Lepisosteus oculatus: one gene and its partner. The protein of the gene in region 2 purifies or fractionates together with the protein of the main gene of each other region. This does not show direct contact. Links are inferred from orthologs where the notes say so. Each region holds a gene or a part of one and is shown on either strand. Other genes may lie near its edges. The genes, in order: pkmyt1 and ccnb2.

Region 1 (10,769 bases), on a different chromosome or scaffold from region 2:
TGTACCCCCTCACCTTGAACACCTCCCCGAAGGAGCCCCTCAGGACTGTACCCCCTCACCTTGAACACCTCCCCTCTGACCCCCTCAGGACTGTACCCCTCTCACCTTGAACACCTCCCCTCTGACCCCCTCAGGACTGTACCCCCTCTCACCTTGAACACCTCCCCTCTGACCCCCTCAGGACTGTACCCCCTCAGGGCTGTACCCCCTCACCTTGAACACCTCCCCTCTGACCCCCTCAGGACTGTACCCCCTCACCTTGAACACCTCCCCTCTGACCCCCTCAGGACTGTACCCCCTCAGTGCTGTACCCCCTCACCTTGAACACCTCCCCTCTGACCCCCTCAGGACTGTACCCCCTCACCTTGAACACCTCCCCTCTGACCCCCTCAGGACTGTACCCCTCAGGACTGTACCCCCTCACCTTGAACACCTCCCCTCTGACCCCCTCAGGACTGTACCCCCTCACCTTGAACACCTCCCCGAAGGAGCCCCTCAGGACTGTACCCCCTCACCTTGAACACCTCCCCTCTGACCCCCTCAGGACTGTACCCCCTCACCTTGAACACCTCCCCGAAGGAGCCCCTCAGGACTGTACCCCCTCACCTTGAACACCTCCCCTCTGACCCCCTCAGGACTGTACCCCCTCACCTTGAACACCTCCCCTCTGACCCCCTCAGGACTGTACCCCCTCTCACCTTGAACACCTCCCCTCTGACCCCCTCAGGACTGTACCCCCTCTCACCTTGAACACCTCCCCTCTGACCCCCTCAGGACTGTACCCCCTCTCACCTTGAACACCTCCCCTCTGACCCCCTCAGGACTGTACCCCCTCACCTTGAACACTTCCCCTCTGACCCCCTCAGGACTGTACCCCCTCACCTTGAACACCTCCCCTCTGACCCCCTCAGGACTGTACCCCCTCTCACCTTAAACACCTCCCCTCTGACCCCCTCAGTACTGTACCCCCTCACCTTGAACACCTCCCCTCTGACCCCCTCAGGACTGTACCCCCTCACCTTGAACACCTCCCCTCTGACCCCCTCAGGACTGTACCCCCTCTCACCTTGAACACCTCCCCTCTGACCCCCTCAGGACTGTACCCCCTCACCTTGAACACCTCCCCTCTGACCCCCTCAGGACTGTACCCCCTCAGGACTGTACCCCCTCACCTTGAACACCTCCCCTCTGACCCCCTCAGGACTGTACCCCCTCACCTTGAACACCTCCCCTCTGACCCCCTCAGGACTGTACCCCCTCACCTTGAACACCTCCCCTCTGACCCCCTCAGGACTGTACCCCCTCTCACCTTGAACACCTCCCCTCTGACCCCCTCAGGACTGTACCCCCTCACCTTGAACACCTCCCCTCTGACCCCCTCAGGACTGTACCCCCTCACCTTGAACACCTCCCCGAAGGAGCCCCTCAGGACTGTACCCCCTCTCACCTTGAACACCTCCCCTCTGACCCCCTCAGGACTGTACCCCCTCACCTTGAACACCTCCCCTCTGACCCCCTCAGGACTGTACCCCCTCAGGACTGTACCCCCTCACCTTGAACACCTCCCCTCTGACCCCCTCAGGACTGTACCCCCTCACCTTGAACACCTCCCCTCTGACCCCCTCAGGACTGAACCCCCTCACCTTGAACACCTCCCCTCTGACCCCCTCAGGACTGAACCCCCTCACCTTGAACACCTCCCCTCTGACCCCCTCAGGACTGTACCCCCTCACCTTGAACACCTCCCCTCTGACCCCCTCAGGACTGTACCCCCTCAGGACTGTACCCCCTCACCTTGAACACCTCCCCTCTGACCCCCTCAGGACTGTACCCCCTCACCTTGAACACCTCCCCGAAGGAGCCCCTCAGGACTGTACCCCCTCACCTTGAACACCTCCCCTCTGACCCCCTCAGGACTGTACCCCCTCTCACCTTGAACACCTCCCCTCTGACCCCCTCAGGACTGTACCCCCTCACCTTGAACACCTCCCCTCTGACCCCCTCAGGACTGTACCCCCTCACCTTGAACACCTCCCCTCTGACCCCCTCAGGACTGTACCCCCTCACCTTGAACACCTCCCCGAAGGAGCCCCTCAGTGCTGTACCCCCTCTCACCTTGAACACCTCCCCTCTGACCCCCTCAGGACTGTACCCCCTCACCTTGAACACCTCCCCTCTGACCCCCTCAGGACTGTACCCCCTCACCTTGAACACCTCCCCTCTGACCCCCTCAGGACTGTACCCCCTCACCTTGAACACCTCCCCTCTGACCCCCTCAGGACTGTACCCCCTCTCACCTTGAACACCTCCCCTCTGACCCCCTCAGGACTGTACCCCCTCAGGACTGTACCCCCTCACCTTGAACACCTCCCCTCTGACCCCCTCAGGACTGTACCCCCTCACCTTGAACACCTCCCCGAAGGAGCCCCTCAGGACTGTACCCCCTCACCTTGAACACCTCCCCTCTGACCCCCTCAGGACTGTACCCCCTCTCACCTTGAACACCTCCCCTCTGACCCCCTCAGGACTGTACCCCCTCACCTTGAACACCTCCCCTCTGACCCCCTCAGGACTGTACCCCCTCACCTTGAACACCTCCCCTCTGACCCCCTCAGGACTGTACCCCCTCACCTTGAACACCTCCCCGAAGGAGCCCCTCAGTGCTGTACCCCCTCTCACCTTGAACACCTCCCCTCTGACCCCCTCAGGACTGTACCCCCTCACCTTGAACACCTCCCCTCTGACCCCCTCAGGACTGTACCCCCTCACCTTGAACACCTCCCCGAAGGAGCCCCTCAGGACTGTACCCCCTCTCACCTTGAACACCTCCCCTCTGACCCCCTCAGTACTGTACCCCCTCACCTTGAACACCTCCCCTCTGACCCCCTCAGGACTGTACCCCCTCACCTTGAACACCTCCCCTCTGACCCCCTCAGGACTGTACCCCCTCAGGACTGTACCCCCTCACCTTGAACACCTCCGCTCTGACCCCCTCAGGACTGTACCCCCTCTCACCTTGAACACCTCCCCTCTGACCCCCTCAGGACTGTACCCCCTCACCTTGAACACCTCCCCTCTGACCCCCTCAGGACTGTACCCCCTCACCTTGAACACCTCCCCTCTGACCCCCTCAGGACTGTACCCCCTCTCACCTTGAACACCTCCCCTCTGACCCCCTCAGGACTGTACCCCCTCTCACCTTGAACACCTCCCCTCTGACCCCCTCAGGACTGTACCCCCTCACCTTGAACACCTCCCCTCTGACCCCCTCAGGACTGTACCCCCTCACCTTGAACACCTCCCCGAAGGAGCCCCTCAGGACTGTACCCCCTCTCACCTTGAACACCTCCCCTCTGACCCCCTCAGGACTGTACCCCCTCACCTTGAACACCTCCCCTCTGACCCCCTCAGGACTGTACCCCCTCAGGGCTGTACCCCCTCACCTTGAACACCTCCCCTCTGACCCCCTCAGGACTGTACCCCCTCACCTTGAACACCTCCCCTCTGACCCCCTCAGGACTGTACCCCCTCACCTTGAACACCTCCCCTCTGACCCCCTCAGGACTGTACCCCCTCACCTTGAACACCTCCCCTCTGACCCCCTCAGGACTGTACCCCCTCACCTTGAACACCTCCCCTCTGACCCCCTCAGGACTGTACCCCCTCACCTTGAACACCTCACCTCTGACCCCCTCAGGACTGTACCCCCTCACCTTGAACACCTCCCCTCTGACCCCCTCAGGACTGTACCCCCTCTCACCTTGAACACCTCCCCTCTGACCCCCTCAGGACTGTACCCCCTCACCTTGAACACCTCCCCTCTGACCCCCTCAGGACTGTACCCCCTCACCTTGAACACCTCCCCTCTGACCCCCTCAGGACTGTACCCCCTCACCTTGAACACCTCCCCTCTGACCCCCTCAGGACTGTACCCCTCAGGACTGTACCCCCTCACCTTGAACACCTCCCCTCTGACCCCCTCAGGACTGTACCCCCTCACCTTGAACACCTCCCCTCTGACCCCCTCACCTTGAACACCTCCCCTCTGACCCCCTCAGGACTGTACCCCCTCAGGACTGTACCCCCTCACCTTGAACACCTCCCCTCTGACCCCCTCAGGACTGTACCCCCTTCACCTTGAACACCTCCCCTCTGACCCCCTCAGGACTGTACCCCCTCAGGACTGTACCCCCTCACCTTGAACACCTCCCCTCTGACCCCCTCAGGACTGTACCCCCTCACCTTGAACACCTCCCCGAAGGAGCCCCTCAGGACTGTACCCCCTCACCTTGAACACCTCCCCTCTGACCCCCTCAGGACTGAACCCCCTCACCTTGAACACCTCCCCTCTGACCCCCTCAGGACTGTACCCCCTCACCTTGAACACCTCCCCTCTGACCCCCTCAGGGCTGTACCCCCTCACCTTGAACACCTCCCCGAAGGAGCCCCTGCCCAGCAGGCCCAGGCAGGAGAAGCACTGCTGGAAGTAGGACTGGGGGCTGCTGGGGTTGTACTGGGAGGAGGGCAGCTGGCGGGGGGGCAGCAGGGCCAGGGACACCGGCCGGGGGCGGGGGTGGCTCCAGGAGGGCACCCGCTGGGGGAACACCCGGCTGAGGGGGGGGGCGCCCTTGCAGGGGGGCCGGGGGGGCAGGGAGCGGGACAGGGGCGGAGGGGAAGAGGAGGAGGAGGAGGAGTCTGGCTGCGGGCGCCTCTTCTTCAGGGAGAAGCTCTGCTCCGCCTGGCTGAAGAAGGCAGGAACAGGGAGAGGCGGGGAGGACAGCTGCGTCTCCCGCGGGACCGGCATGGACACAGGGGCGAGCAACAGGACTGCAGGGACTGCGCAGGCGAGGACACAGGGGCGAGCAACAGGACTGCAGGGACTGCGCAGGCGAGGACACAGGGGCGAGCAACAGGACTGCAGGGACTGCGCAGGCGAGGGCACAGGGGCGAGCAACAGGACTGCAGGGACTGCGCAGGCGAGGACACAGGGGCGAGCAACAGGACTGCAGGGACTGCGCAGGCGAGGGACAGACTGACAGCAGGGACTGCGCAGGCGAGGGACAGACTGACTGCAGGGACTGCGCAGGGGAGGGCAGGACAGACTGACTGCAGGGACTGCGCAGGGGAGGGAAGGACAGACTGACTGCAGGGACTGCGCAGGCGAGGGCAGGACAGACTGACTGCAGGGACTGCGCAGGCGAGGGAAGGACAGACTGACTGCAGGGACTGCGCAGGCGAGGGAAGGACAGACTGACTGCAGGGACTGCGCAGGTGAGGGCAGGACAGACTGACTGCAGGGACTGCGCAGGCGAGGGACAGACTGACTGAAGGGACTGCGCAGGCGAGGGCAGGACAGACTGACTGCAGGGACTGCGCAGGTGAGGGCAGGACAGACTGACTGCAGGGACTGCGCAGGCGAGGGAAGGACAGACTGACTGCAGGGACTGCGCAGGTGAGGGCAGGACAGACTGACTGCAGGGACTGCGCAGGCGAGGGACAGACTGACTGCAGGGACTGCGCAGGCGAGGGACAGACTGACTGAAGGGACTGCGCAGGTGAGGGCAGGACAGACTGACTGAAGGGACTGCGCAGGCGAGGACACAGGGGCGAGCAACAGGACTGCAGGGACTGCGCAGGCGAGGGCAGGACAGACTGACTGCAGGGACTGCGCAGGCGAGGGAAGGACAGACTGACTGCAGGGACTGCGCAGGTGAGGGCAGGACAGACTGACTGCAGGGACTGCGCAGGCGAGGGACAGACTGACTGAAGGGACTGCGCAGGCGAGGGCAGGACAGACTGACTGCAGGGACTGCGCAGGTGAGGGCAGGACAGACTGACTGCAGGGACTGCGCAGGTGAGGGCAGGACAGACTGACTGCAGGGACTGCGCAGGTGAGGGCAGGACAGACTGACTGCAGGACTGCGCAGGTGAGGGCAGGACAGACTGACTGCAGGGACTGCGCAGGCGAGGGACAGACTGACTGAAGGGACTGCGCAGGCGAGGGCAGGACAGACTGACTGCAGGGACTGCGCAGGTGAGGGCAGGACAGACTGACTGCAGGGACTGCGCAGGTGAGGGCAGGACAGACTGACTGCAGGACTGCGCAGGTGAGGGCAGGACAGACTGACTGCAGGGACTGCGCAGGCGAGGGACAGACTGACTGAAGGGACTGCGCAGGCGAGGGCAGGACAGACTGACTGCAGGGACTGCGCAGGCGAGGGCAGGACAGACTGACTGCAGGGACTGCGCAGGCGAGGGACAGACTGACTGCAGACTCCGGTTCTTCAGGTGTTTATAGAGCAGGTCTCTACAGCAGTATACAGGGGTCTAGAGAGCTGTATTGTTCCATAGGTTCGCAAAATTCCTGATATATACAGCCAAGAGGCATTACAGAGTCTATAATAACACTATGACAGAGGAGGGAGGCTGATGGGAGAGAGACTCTGGCAGGGCTGATGGGAGAGACTTCACAGTGAACAGCAGACATCTGGGCCTCCAGGCCTCCTGCGGAGACAGAGGACAAGTCACAGCTCACAGCGCAGGGTCTGCAGTCTCTCTACCCATCCAGGCACACTGAGCCAGAGGTCTCCTCTGTAAATGAGCTAATTTCCAGCTGACAGTGTACAGCACAGAGTCCATCAGGAGACACAGGACAGGGGGACTAGGAGCACAGCAGGAGACACAGGACACAGAACAGGGCGACTCAGAGCACAGCAGGAGACACAGGACAGGGGGACTCTGAGCCCAGCAGGAGACACAGGACACAGGACAGGGGGACTCAGAGCACAGCAGGAGACACAGGACACAGAACAGGGTGACTCAGAGCACAGCAGGAGACACAGGACAGGGGGACTCTGAGCCCAGCAGGAGACACAGGACACAGGACAGGGGGACTCAGAGCACAGCAGGAGACACAGGACACAGAACAGGGTGACTCAGAGTGCAGCAGGAGACACAGGAGAGGGGGACTCGGAGCCCAGCAGGAGACACAGGACACAGGACAGGGGGACTCAGAGTGCAGCAGGAGACACAGGACAGGGGGACTCGGAGCCCAGCAGGAGACACAGGACACAGAACAGGACGACTCAGAGCACAGCAGGAGACACAGGACACAGAACAGGGCGACTCAGAGTGCAGCAGGAGACACAGGACAGGGGGACTCAAGAGTCCATCCTGGAGACACAGGACACAGGACAGGGGGACTCAGAGTCCAGCAGGAGACACAGGACACAGGACAGGGGGACTCAGAGTCCAGCAGGAGACACAGGACACAGGACAGGGGGACTCAGAGTGCAGCAGGAGACACAGGACAGGGGGACTCGGAGCCCAGCAGGAGACACAGGACACAGAACAGGACGACTCAGAGCACAGCAGGAGACACAGGACACAGAACAGGGCGACTCAGAGTGCAGCAGGAGACACAGGACAGGGGGACTCTGAGCCCAGCAGGAGACACAGGACACAGGACAGGGGGACTCAGAGCACAGCAGGAGACACAGGACACAGAACAGGGTGACTCAGAGCACAGCAGGAGACACAGGACAGGGGGACTCTGAGCCCAGCAGGAGACACAGGACACAGGACAGGGGGACTCAGAGCACAGCAGGAGACACAGGACACAGAACAGGGTGACTCAGAGTGCAGCAGGAGACACAGGAGAGGGGGACTCGGAGCCCAGCAGGAGACACAGGACACAGGACAGGGGGACTCAGAGTGCAGCAGGAGACACAGGACAGGGGGACTCGGAGCCCAGCAGGAGACACAGGACACAGAACAGGACGACTCAGAGCACAGCAGGAGACACAGGACACAGAACAGGGTGACTCAGAGCACAGCAGGAGACACAGGACAGGGGGACTCTGAGCCCAGCAGGAGACACAGGACACAGGACAGGGGGACTCAGAGCACAGCAGGAGACACAGGACACAGAACAGGGTGACTCAGAGTGCAGCAGGAGACACAGGAGAGGGGGACTCGGAGCCCAGCAGGAGACACAGGACACAGGACAGGGGGACTCAGAGTGCAGCAGGAGACACAGGACAGGGGGACTCGGAGCCCAGCAGGAGACACAGGACACAGAACAGGACGACTCAGAGCACAGCAGGAGACACAGGACACAGAACAGGGCGACTCAGAGTGCAGCAGGAGACACAGGACAGGGGGACTCGGAGCCCAGCAGAAGACACAGGACACAGGACAGGGGGACTCAGAGTGCAGCAGGAGACACAGGACAGGGGGCCTCGGAGCCCAGCAGGAGACACAGGACACAGAACAGGACGACTCAGAGCACAGCAGGAGACACAGGACACAGGACAGGGCGACTCAGAGTGCAGCAGGAGACACAGGACAGGGGGACTCAAGAGTCCATCCTGGAGACACAGGACACAGGACAGGGGGACTCAGAGTCCAGCAGGAGACACAGGACACAGGACAGGGGGACTCAGAGTGCAGCAGGAGACACAGGACAGGGGGTCTCGGAGCCCAGCAGGAGACACAGGACACAGAACAGGACGACTCAGAGCACAGCAGGAGACACAGGACACAGGACAGGGGGACTCAGAGTCCAGCAGGAGACACAGGACACAGGACAGGGGGACTCAGAGTCCAGCAGGATTATTTCTGCATTAATAACTCTTTGGACTTCAAAGCTTTAGACTCTCCCTACTGACACACACAGTACGACACACACACTACTACACACAGTAACACACTGACACACACACAGCTCGATATAACCTCACTCTGAAATGTCACTCACACACTCCGACACACACAATAACACAGTAACACACTGACACACACACACAGTCACACACTGACACACACAGCTCGATATAACCTCTCTGAAATCTCTCACTCACACACTCACTCTCTCTCACACACACACAGTAACACACTGACACACACAGCTCGATATAACCTCTCTGAAATCTCTCACTCACACACTCCGACACACACTCACTCACACACTCACACACACACACACAGTAACACACTCACACACACAGTAATCTCTCACCTGCCGTCTCTGTCAACATGAGCAGGAAACTCCGGACTCCGGCGTGCAACAGAGTCCGAGCTGGGAGCGAGTCAGCACTCGCGGTAACACCGCCAGTATCTCCACCAGTCACCCCGCTGGTGGCCCAGTATCTCCACCAGTCACCCGGACCGACCGCAGCTCCTGGCGCCAAAACACGCGACTTTCCCCCCGGTTACCGCGCAACCCGCCCCGAGTCCCCGCCCTCTATGCATATTCATGACGCAGTCGCGTCGTCAATGCCGGACAGGCCGCGCCTCCTCGCCAGGGTTCCTCCCCGTTCCGCCATATAAGGAAGGGGCGCGCTGCAGGACCCGCCTCCTTGCTGCCATAAAGAGAGATTTGACCCGGAGCGAGGGTCGACCCCGCCCCCGCGCCTTCTGCAGGAGGAAGAGATTCACAGGCGCGCTGTCTGGTGTCTGTGCTCAGGCTCCTTATCCCAGCTGCAAGTACCCCGGGGAAGACAAATACTGCCTCCCCACGCACACCGCCACCGTGTCATCGCTTCTGCTACCGCAGCAGCAGCGAAATAGCGAGTCCCCGCCCGCACAGCTGCTCCCTGTGTGTCCGAGTGTGTCCGAGTGTGTCCGAGTGTCCGAGTGTCCGAGTGTCTGAGTGTGTCAGTGTGTGTCAGTGTGTGTCTGAGTGTCTGAGTGTCTGAGTGTCTGAGTGTCTGTGTGTGTCAGTGTGTGTCTGTGTGTGTCTGAGTGTCTGAGTGTCTGAGTGTCTGAGTGTCAGTGTGTGTCAGTGTGTGTCAGTGTGTGTCTGAGTGTCTGAGTGTGTCAGTGTGTGTCTGAGTGTTTCTGTGTGTCTCTGTGTGTCTCGGTGTGTGTCTGTGTTTCTGTGTGTCTCGGTGTGTGTCTGTGTCTCAGTGTGTCTGTGTGTCTGTCTCAGTGTTTCTGTGTGTCAGTGTGTGTCTGTGTCTGAGTGTCTGTCTCAGTGTTTCTGTGTGTTTCTGTCTCTGTGTGTCTCTGTGTGTCTCTGTGTGTCTCTGTGTGTCTCTGTGTGTCTCAGTGTGTCTGTGTGTCTCAGTGTGCCTGTGTGTCTCAGTGTGTCTGTGTGTCTCACACATCTGCCGGACGGGGTTCAGGACTCTGACCACTGTCCGGCCCGGCCCGTGAGTCTGCGTGAGTCGTGATTCCCAACTGGACCAGTTCTGTCCTGCAGCCCTGCGGAGAGGAGCGAGCAGGAGTCTGGATCTCCCCCCTAATATCGCCCCCAGTCCCAGTGTCCTGCTCCAGGGGCCCCTCAGCCGCCCCACGCGTGTTCATACCGACAGCGATCGTGTTTATTCATCCACGTGGCGTCCACTGACGATGGAGTTTACTATCCGTCTTCCTCCGGAGGTCTTGGCCCACGAGAGTGACCTCTCGGAGCCCCGAGTCCTCACCTGCGACGTGCTGTCCTTCCCATCCTGCTGGGGGGCAGCCGCGATGCCAGAGGGCTAAGTCATCGTGATCGTCAGAGACAGCTCTGTGGCCGAGCAGCCGGGGGCACAGCTCGCTGTGAGCTGTGTCGGGCAGCCGCGATGCCAGAGGGCTAAGTCATCGTGATCGTCAGAGACAGCTCTGTGGTCCGAGCAGCTCCTGATGGGCCACTCTGTCTGTCCCCTGCTCCCTCCTCCTGCTCCTCCTCACACACAGCTCTCCTCACCTCTCCTGACTCCACACCTCCCTGAGGGCCACTCTGTCTGTCCCCTGCTCCCTCCTCCTGCTCCTCCTCTCACACAGCT
Region 2 (10,382 bases):
CTTTGGCTAGTTTAGACCAAGGTGCACATCAAGCAATATATAAAATCTACTCAAGCTCAGTAACCCCATTACTAACTAGAAGGGTATTGCAATATCCACTCATAAATACCAAGTATAGACACACACTAGGGTCTCCAATTCCTCTCTCATAAGTGGCAAGAAGGGCCAGGTAAATCCATCTTTACAGCTTTTGACCACTGGTTTACAAGGATGGCAAATGCCTGTGGCATTAAGTTGGGATAACATCTTCCAAGACTAAGCTGCCAAATGGTGCAGATGTTTTAGAATGACTGTGCAACCCTGCTCGAAGCCCACAATGGTGCCAGAAGTGCCTTTTGAGTTTCTTTAATATGGCTGGCCCATATTACTTATGCCTAATATGTAAATAACTAGGTCTTTTTACATGTACATTTTAAATCAGTTTGCTTTAATACTAGGTATGTATATGAATGTATTGTACTCATCTGCAATTCTTGATAACTTTGCTTTGTTGGTGAAAATGAAGTTGGTACTCAATTACTCCTTTGAGCTAAAAGGTGGTGCTTCACCCTTGTGCAGGATCACTCTGCACCTGGTGAAATCAGGAATAAAACCAATAAATTCCACTGACTGGTTTGCAACATTTGTGGAATGCCAATAAAAAAAAGCAAACATGTCTATTGAAAATCACTATAATTACCACATAAGAGATTGACATTTATATTAACACTTTATTAAAAATACAAGTTTACAAAATTGAAATCAAGTCCTAGCTCCACTAGAGGGAAAGTAGCAGGCTGTTGAAAAACTGACCAGTCTAGTCTCAATGTTAACCTCCCCCCCCCCCCAAAAAAAAAGAAGCTACCAGATGAGCAAGACTAACCAATTTTCCTCCCCTCACTGTAGCTTAACCTTAAGGTTCTGAAGTTGTTTCATGGAGACAAAGAAAAGAGGAGGCACAGGCCACACTCAAAGCATCAGGACACCAATTCAAGGCTTAAATAAAAGTATTAAATAAACCATCTCAAGGAGACTAGATTAAAATTTCCTAAGCTAAAATGGTAGGTGGGAACAGCAGGGAGTCAAATCAACTTATAAAATTTAAAAATCCTGTAGGGAAAAAAAAAGTTAAAGATTGAAGCAGCACAAATCTTCCACAGGTTGGAGTTTAAAAAAAGTGCAACAAGTTCAGAAGTCCATAAGACAAGTAGTATTAAGAATTCTCCAACAGGGGTGCAGCCATGTCCTGGATGGTGGAGGACCGGAGCTGTGGAATGGTGCTTATCCTCAGCAGCTTGCTGCTGGCATATTTGTTCTTGATTGCCTGTACAGGAAAGAAGAAACCCAGCTCAGGGAGGAGTTCAGATCCTCGGGTATCAAGCCCACAATGTACTTAGTTTAGGTCTACGGTAACAATAGCATGAAGTGGAAAGTACATTAGAATCCTAGTTTGTGACAAGGATAGGACAGAACTTACAGTGTGCTTGGTAAGCCCATTGTTAAGCCTCACCACATTCTTGGCAAGGTGCTGCATAATGGTCTTGAGATTCTCTTCGGAATAACCAGCATAATGGCGCTGCGTTGTGGTCTGGAAGAGATACCTGCCGCTCTTAAGCATTGCCAAGAATCCAGAAGTGTATACAAGCCATTCATAGTTAGTGACAGAGGATCAAACATGCAGTTTTGTCACTGCATATCTGCTTTACAGATTAAGCAGAGCATGTATATTGGAAAGGATCTCACACTCTAGCACTTACATCACTCGGGGTTTGTGGAAGTAACCTTCATTTCCAATATTATAGTAGTGCGAATACAAAAGATTAACAAAAACATACCCAACTACTACCATCCAGCACAGTCTGGGAGAGGAAGAGTGCAGCAGCTGCCACTTCAGAAGGGTGGTAATGCACCATGTCATAATCCATCAGGGTCAGCTCCATGAAGTACTTGGCAAGAGTGTGTTTCTCTGCATCAGCCTTGGAAATGACAAAGCAGTTACACACTAGGAGGGAGAAATACAGCCAAAGAAGAAACGCATTGCACCGAGGAGGTTTGTGCATTTCAGGGACAAGTGGAAGGTAATTACATTGCCAGCCTTTGATGCCCTCCTTAGGAAGTGAAGGGGCAGAGGACGACCCAGTTCAAAATTCAGCTCTTTCAGGATCAGCATTTCCATTTGCCGGATCTGTGCTTTAGAGAAAGCATTATCCGTGATGTAGACAAAGTCCCCAATCTCTGGGGCGTACATTTCTTCATACTTGGCAGCAATTAACATAGCAGTAACGCCAACCAGCTGAAGCTTTTTCCTGGAGACAGGTTGTACCTTTAGGGGAAAAAAAGGGTTACATTTGAGGATACTCACTCAACACATTAGAATTTAGAAGGGCTGACCATCTTAGCAAAAAAAAGCTGCTTACTTGGAGAAATCGGTCAAGAATAGCAACAGTCATGTACAGAGTCTCCTGCAGCAGGTGAAACCTGCAGTGCACCTGAATGAGCCAGTCAACCAAGAGGGCCCGCATTCTTTCATTAATCTCACAGCCCTCAAGATACCTGGGGCGGATAGCCTGCTGGAGCTGCAGTAAAGAAAAAAAAGGAAAGATTAACTTATAAAGGCACTTGTGGGTCCTTTAGATACAGGATGCCCAGTCACTGAAGCACAGTTTCCCTGAAGGCCCAGTCATGCTTAGTTTCTCAGATCCAGCAAGAAAATGAGATGAATAGCCAACAAGCAGCAGTAATAAATTTGTGAATCAGGATTAACAAGGTTATAATTTTTACCTCAATTTGCTTTAAGTACACATAGATGTCCTTCACGTATTCAGAACACAGCTGGGGATGTTCACCATCCAAGGCATCAATGTCTTCTATATCCAACATAGCCTCAGAAAAAGCCTGGCACAGCTCTTCCTCTTTCATCGAGACGTCCATGCAAGAAGGAACAACCTGAAGGTGTGTTATTTAAAGCCAGTCATCAGCGCACTATGCAAGTCTTTCAGTAAGAAGAGCAGGCAGAGCCAGCACAGTGGCTATATTTGATCTTAGAACTACAGAGTTGTCTGAAGAATCCCCCCCCCCCCCAGTTTCAAAATAATGAGGCACTTTGAACTCCTATTAGGGAGTTTCTAGTACCATTTACTAGACACTACAAAACTTCACCATTCATGACAAACAGCAATGGTCTACATGCAGGTATATCCTGACCCAGCAGGGCTTGTACCCATGCAACAGTTCCTGCAAGGGCAGGATGACAGGGGATATGCCTTGTGCACCAGAGTGCAGGCAAGTGCATGTCAAAGCTCTTCAGGAAAATTGGCAGATCAGCCCAAGTGAATCACACTCAATCATAGAGAGAACTGTGTACATCTTGTATTGCTTACAATACATACACATTGGTAGCCTGTGACACTCAGTCAATTCCTCCCCCAACTGTGGATGTTTTGCAATCATACCAATGGTTCAGGTTTGTGGACTCACTTAAAAAAAAAAAGCTTCCCCAACAGAAGCTTGCAGCACTTCTAATCCACCTGTAGCCATAAGGGACTAGATGCTTGTAAAAGGTACAATGCAGTCATTTCTGTGACACAAGACATTAAACAACCCTGTCACTTACTGGGACTTCAGGCACCACTGGACCTGGTTTGGGCTGCACAGTCACTTCATCCTGCTGCTTAGGCTTCACTGGCTTTGACTGCTTGACCACATGGGACTTCAGGGTGTCATTTTTCTACAGTTCATAGAAAGGAGGGTTTGGAACAAAGCACTCTTCAAAACCAGCAACATAATGCTCAATAATACAAGAGTATTTTCATGGTACCTAATGCGACACCAAAACAAAAGTAAACCAGTTGCCCCACCCCCATCTAGCCCAAATAATCACAACTCCTGCCCAGCACACTTAAGGCTCTAAATTGGCAAAGCACCAACCTAAACAGAGTCCTCCCCCCCCCCCACACACACACTTCCATTTGAGCCATCTGGCCCTTCAGGACTACAGCTGTGCACCCCTGTCTTGAGCAAACACTCACAACACTGTGGAAGAAGCACTGGGCAGCAGTGGATAGGGCACAGATACACAAGATACTGCTTCTATACCCTTAGGGGAAATACTTCAGAGTTGTTCCATTGAGATACCCAGCTGTATATCAAGGGGTGCATATTAAAACTAAACACTAGATGAAACCGCCAGACAACGGCCACCCCAGCTTCAATTCACTCGGAAGAAGGGGTGAATATTGTAACGCAACGGGGGCTCAGGTGGGCGCCCTTGCCGCATTAGGCCGGCCCCATCCCGACTGAGGCTCGAACCCGGGACTCCTGCGTCTCTCTGCAGCGACCCAGCCCCGTGAGCTAAAGAGATCCCCCCACAGCCCAGTAGCTGTGGTCCTGCCATCACAGGGAAGGGCGGTGACATCTGCTCTTACACAGCGCCTGTCGGCCGTAAGCGTTACAATATGTTTTGAACTCGCTCCGGCAAATACAGATCCCAGCTCAGAACCCAAAAGCGCAGCTACAACAGTACCTTGACTGGGCCTCCCCTGGTAGAGAAGTTGGAGATCTCGCCTAGGACTGGCCGTTTCGTCCCAGCTGCAGTTTTACCCACTGGGACCGCGTTTTCGGCATTCCTGATATGCTGCTCGTAAAGAAAAGCAAGTCAGAACCCGGGAGTAGAGAACTCAGCACCGCACAAAAGCACGGAGGCGACGCTAAAGGTAACCTAAACTAATTAGATAAGGGTTATGTCTCAAACCTCTGAAAATGAGTACGTTACAATCTCAGTTTTACATTTAATAGTTAAGCTGCAAGACAACTAAACTGCTGGCTAATTGCATATTACAGATAAGAGCTTCATTTCTTCTCCTTCACGAAGAAGGACATTACAAGCTGCTGACCTAGGCTCTCCGGAAAACGTGGAATGCTGAAAGAACTAATAAATTGTACTTACAATTCCCCGGTTTACCAAAGCCATTCTGAAGAAAAACGTTAAATAAAAGAGCCTTTAAAAAAGAAGCTACAGCCGACGACCAACAAATGTACACCACAAACACTCCACTCGCCACTGCGCTTGTAGACTGTGCACCACTTCACCATTCAAATACCGCTCCGCGCGCTCCCATTGGGCAGGAGCTCACGAGGCGGATGGTTTCTATTGGCTGGCAAACGAGGGGCCTGAATGCGTTACCGCGGCAACCAAAAAATGAATTGTTTATGTTCCTAACATATTCTCCGCAATTAAATCAGATGATTCCTTTTTTGTTTTATGATGTATCAGCCGTTTTATTCACCAGTACCCCCCCGTTTAAGTAAAAGTAAAATAGAAAATCAAGCATGCGCCAACTTTTGTGCCCGGAGTTTAGCATTGAGTTCACAATGCACTCTGGGAATTGATGTTTTTTTTCTTGGGTAGCCTGATAACAATATACGAAATTTTATATTGATGTGTATGCGTGTTACCAAGATATTAAATATTAAACCAATGAGTGATTTCCGCAAATCGCCTCTTTTTTAGCAAACAAAAAGGGCTATGGAAATAATCACTACGTCTATCACCCAATTACTCATCTATATTATGTACAATTACCTCTACCCTGTTACATCTTGTTTTCTGGAAGTGTTCGTGTAATGTATTCTGGTTCCTTTACTCGTCCTCTTGTGTCCGAGTAGTCTGTAGAGCCTTCTTGGTCCGTTTCGTTTTACTAGGCGCAGAGTTCTGGTTGCTGTTCCAGTCTGTGATGGATTTTAGTTGATTTCGCCAGTCGTCTATACAGATCGATAATATTTATTTTATTATTCTGCAATTTCCCTCACAGGATCAATAAAGTATCTATCTATTATTAGTATTGAGGTGAAGGTAAGAGGTGTAGTAGGGAGCCACGGATGGGTCTCATAAGCCAATATTATAAAACACTGCTGTCATGTCAATGGTCAATAATAATAATTGCTTACACTTATATAGTGCTTTTCTGGACACTTCACTCAAATCGCTTTACAGGTAATGGGAACTCCCCTTCTCCACCACCAATGTGTAGCCCCACTAAGATGATGCAATGGCAGCCATAGTGCACCAGTACACTCACCACACATCAGCTATCAGTGGGGAGGAGAACAGAGTGATGAAGCCAATTCATAGATGGGGATTATTAGGAGGCCATGATCGGTAAGCGCCAATATGTTATTATTATATTATACATTATAATGTGTTATATTAAGGGTCAAGATGCCAGGGTTACACCCCTACCGTTTTTGAGAAACACCCTGGGATTTTTAACGACCACAGAGTAAGGACCTCAGTTTTACGTCTCATCCGAAGGACGGCACCGCTATACTGGGGCATTAGGACCCACATAGATCAGAGTGAGCGCCCTCTCGTGGCCCCACTAATACTTCTTCCTGCAGCAACATTAGCTTTTTCCCAGGAGGTCTCCCATCCAGGTACTGGCCAGGCTCACATCTGCTGAGCTCCAGTGGGCTGCTAGTTGTGAGTTGCAGGGTGACATGGCAGCTGGCAATGCAATGGCAATATATTAAAGGTGCTTTTGACTGATCTGAGATTCAGGCACTGACCCTTATAACCAAATGAGTGATACATGTTGGATTTATTGGCAAAAGACATACAAACGAACAGATGGAAAAAGCATACATTACATGTTTAAGTTTCACACCAACAACAATTACAGTGAAAAATGGATGGACGATAATGTTTTTTTTCACATTACGGCACTGTCTGGCTGCAGTTCCCAACCACTTTTAAATTATTGTAACACCTGAGAATGACCTGCCTTTAAGAGTCAAAGCTTTGCTTCAGGCCAGTTAAATCTCAGTGCGTGTAAAATTAAAGGGATAGATCGTTCTCCATATTGTCCCTTAAATACATGGGGCAATGAATTTGGCTTTTCTTATTAAAGCAGAACTGGAATTTGACAATTTGCTGTGAAGTATGTTAACTACCCCACCTCCTCTTATGTGAACTCATTCCTATAAACTGTATCATGGGGAAATGTGTAGATTTATCACTATTGCAGAAGCAGTACTATCATCAACTAGTTGGTGATATAAATAAAAAGGTGTCAAATGGATTAGAGAAATGCTTAGGAAAGAGTATAAGAATAAGGACCCAAACACGGGCCTCAGAAGTGCATCTTCTCTTTTTATACAGGGTCAGTTGTTTCACACAAGTATTTGAATATAGCCAAAGTATATATAGTTACTTTTCATACTAGTTATGTCCAATTCTTAATTCTATAGGAATTCTTAGAAGATTATTAGGTATAATGTGTGGGCAAAGCGACCCAGTTGCTAAGGTCAAGAGTTTGTGAGCAGGTAAATTCCTGGATCAAATCCTGGGCATGCCACAGACTCAGTATTATCTGTGAAATTCGGAGCAATGAGTTACTAACATGCTGTTGTTAATAGAAAAGACTGAGGAAAGCTGACTCATTTATAATCCTTAGAGGTAGGGAATGTCATTAACTCAACACAGGGCTTCAGAACCTCCAGGGAATCATAAACCAGAGCAAACATTAGGTTTTAAATACACAGAAGTGCATTTAAAATGAAGAACAAGACACTTTTACAGCTTTGAGTCCACAACAAGTTATCAAGCCATATTGCATGAACTGGCTTTCTTCAGGCAGTGGCTGGAAAAGATCCTCAGATCACTACCAAATGAGTAGGTGGGCTGAAAGTCCTTCTTCTGCTTTGAACCTTCTTACGCTCTAGGATAGTTTGAACAGAAGACCTCTGTAATGGCAGAAAAACATGGGAGAATGGATTCCCTCCTTTGTAGTAATGCTTGTTTAGTTACTACTTATTGGCTCTATCTCCTCTAGCTTTCGCTCGAAGCATCCTGGACAATCTGGTTCAGCAGCATAGGATTATTCTCTGAATTTAAAAAATCTTTTAACAATGTCCTCTAACCTCAGTTCTGCATTTCCCTATTTTATCCTACACTGTCTGACTTTTACTACTCCCTCTCATGATTTTACTTCTTCTTCTTTCCGGTAATAGTTTCCTCCAGATTTAGTTTTTCTATAGCATTGCAGCACTGGTCCGTTCTTTAAGGCCAGAATTTCAGCATGGAATAATCTTCTACTTGTTCCCTTGCAGTTTAAAAGAGAAGAAAAGCAGAACAATGTTTCGGCTGTGGAGCCTTCTTCAGCTGTGCGATTTAAACTGGTTTAGTTTCTTTAGCTGGATCCAACAGCAACCATATCTTCTGCAACATAGCAACTCACATTGTTCATAATTTGGTCATGTATAACCACAATTTAGATCCAGCTACACTAACCACTATATATAAAGTGGCCAACCCTGGTCCTGGAGTGCCAGAATACAAGTTTTTTCAGAACAGGCACTCCTTGATTTCCAAGCACTTGGGGCTGAACAATTCCTTTTGATCACGATTTTGAGGGCACTGTATTTGCTCAGTTAAGTATGCTCACAGATCACTTGAAATGAAAGTGCCAACATCCTGTAGCTCTCAAGTACCAGGGTTGGTCATTAAATGAAGCAATTTACTGAAGATGTTAAAAGTTACAAATCTTTCAGGATGGTAAGAGCTCTTACAAGATATTTAAATGTTTTTTTTTTTACTTTTAATTTAGAAAAATGAGTTTGTTTTCTACTTAAAAACTAACCTGTAAAAAAAGTGCTATAAAATTATCAATACAGACCTATACCTCTTATGCACCTACTTTAGTATTGGTACATTCATTCACATTTCTACCATTTTAAGATAATCAAGAACCTCTTTAGCAGTACAAAATACTAAATAATGACATTGTGCTTCGTACATTAGCTCTTCAGTTGAGGTATCTGCATGGTATAGGATGCATATAAGATACAATATAGGATAGCCTCATATTCCAAATTTGTATCTTCAGTAGCTTTTGATTAACATATTCTCTAACAAAATGTGGGAGAACAATATGATTTGCATCTTGTTTCCTTTTCCACCTAGTTCTTTATTACACAAAGCACAGATAATCTGCAAAACAAGGGCTTATTAGAACCACTTGAAAACACTGAATTTAACCTTCATTAAGTAGGCAAGGGACATAAAACCACAAAAAACCTATAAGTATATAACCATTATATATCATATTAGCACTGTTGGAAATTATATAAATAGGTGTAATCCAGATTGAGCAAATTTCTTCAAAAAATGAAATGGTGTAGATAATTCAAAAAGGTTTCTATACTCCATTTACTCCACATTAGCATAATGGAAACATTTAAAAACATTAGAACTGCAAAACCTTTTTCCTCAATTACAGTTTCATCTGAAATAACCATTTATTGTATTCATGTTAGATTTGCCCACAAAACATACATCATTGAAACTACTGAAAGACTGTAAGCCAGCATGTTTCAAGGCCCAAGCGCCTGTACAATACAGTGTGCGACTCCCCTGTTGTTCAGATTGTATGGTTTCAGAATATGTATAAAATACTGAACAAAACATTGTTGAAGAGACACAAAGACAAGAGGGGAAAGAGTTACCTAACTTTATTTTTTTAAAACTAATATAAATCCCTCGGAAATGCTTCCTAGGGCCATTATAGTCTATGAATGCATGGATACCTGCCATTAGTACTGCATTCCAACACTCCATTCAAAATGTTACAATTTTCAAAATTCAGCAATCAGAGCGGAAATACATTACCTAGACACTTTGCTTTCACAGGACTCCTGTCTTATGTCTTTCACCATTGATGTGCAAGTATATGCAATTTAGCTAGTTGAGGAAAACCATTAGTGTTAAGTTCTTCATGGCAGCAAAGGAATTTGTTGCAATGTTACAGAGATGAAGTAAAAATCAACAATAACCCAGTTAAAAAAATACAATCTCTGTTGGCCTGCTGCGTTCCATGGAGCTGTGTCGCTCAGTTTGTCCACCCCCCCCGCCCCCAACACAGACAGACAGATGAATGAGACAGGCCAAACTAGGGTTCCATTTAACAATTTATCACCAGTCTGTGGAAAACTGGCTCAACAGACCCCTTTCACATTTGAAGTCAAAACGCCAATTCCCAAGGTCCGTCCATTCAGACTTGTGAATACAAACAGAAGTGTACAATCTGCTGGCAATGGCCAACCTCGCCACTCAACAGGGCACTTCACTGTGTGTAAAACTGTTTACGACGTGCCTTAAAAGGTCTAACTGTGAAAAAAACAGTCAAAATACAGTGACATTCATTTTTCTCCAATGCAATAAGGAAGTGCAGAAGGTGAACATTGAAAGGTGAGCGAAGAAAGGAAAAGGCTTCTGTATGCATTTCCTAATTATAAGTGATGCATTTTCAGATTGTTCCCACTAGATGGACACCGCATGATGTTGTACACAGACTTTTATACAGCAGCTGTTTGTTTTTCCCTAATTAAGGAATGTTTTGCTTTACATT

The links.
Region 1: the proteins of ccnb2 (region 2) and pkmyt1 purify together in Homo sapiens (affinity purification with mass spectrometry; 4 studies listed by BioGRID and IntAct, with this or other methods). This does not show direct contact. The link is inferred for Lepisosteus oculatus from reciprocal best matches to the Homo sapiens genes CCNB2 and PKMYT1.

What each region holds. Positions count from the first base shown.
Region 1 is NC_090699.1:1,215,543-1,226,311, forward strand, and holds the start of pkmyt1 (membrane-associated tyrosine- and threonine-specific cdc2-inhibitory kinase), read right to left. Parts: upstream 4,805-10,769; coding exon 4,424-4,804; intron 1-4,423. UniProt on the Homo sapiens protein: Acts as a negative regulator of entry into mitosis (G2 to M transition) by phosphorylation of the CDK1 kinase specifically when CDK1 is complexed to cyclins. Mediates phosphorylation of CDK1 predominantly on 'Thr-14'. Also involved in Golgi fragmentation.
Region 2 is NC_090700.1:46,454,597-46,464,978, reverse strand, and holds ccnb2 (G2/mitotic-specific cyclin-B2), read right to left. Parts: upstream 5,064-10,382; 5' UTR 4,949-5,063; coding exon 4,925-4,948; intron 4,613-4,924; coding exon 4,502-4,612; intron 3,707-4,501; coding exon 3,593-3,706; intron 2,926-3,592; coding exon 2,761-2,925; intron 2,556-2,760; coding exon 2,397-2,555; intron 2,303-2,396; coding exon 2,066-2,302; intron 1,956-2,065; coding exon 1,815-1,955; intron 1,568-1,814; coding exon 1,457-1,567; intron 1,304-1,456; coding exon 1,193-1,303; 3' UTR 691-1,192; downstream 1-690. UniProt on the Homo sapiens protein: Essential for the control of the cell cycle at the G2/M (mitosis) transition.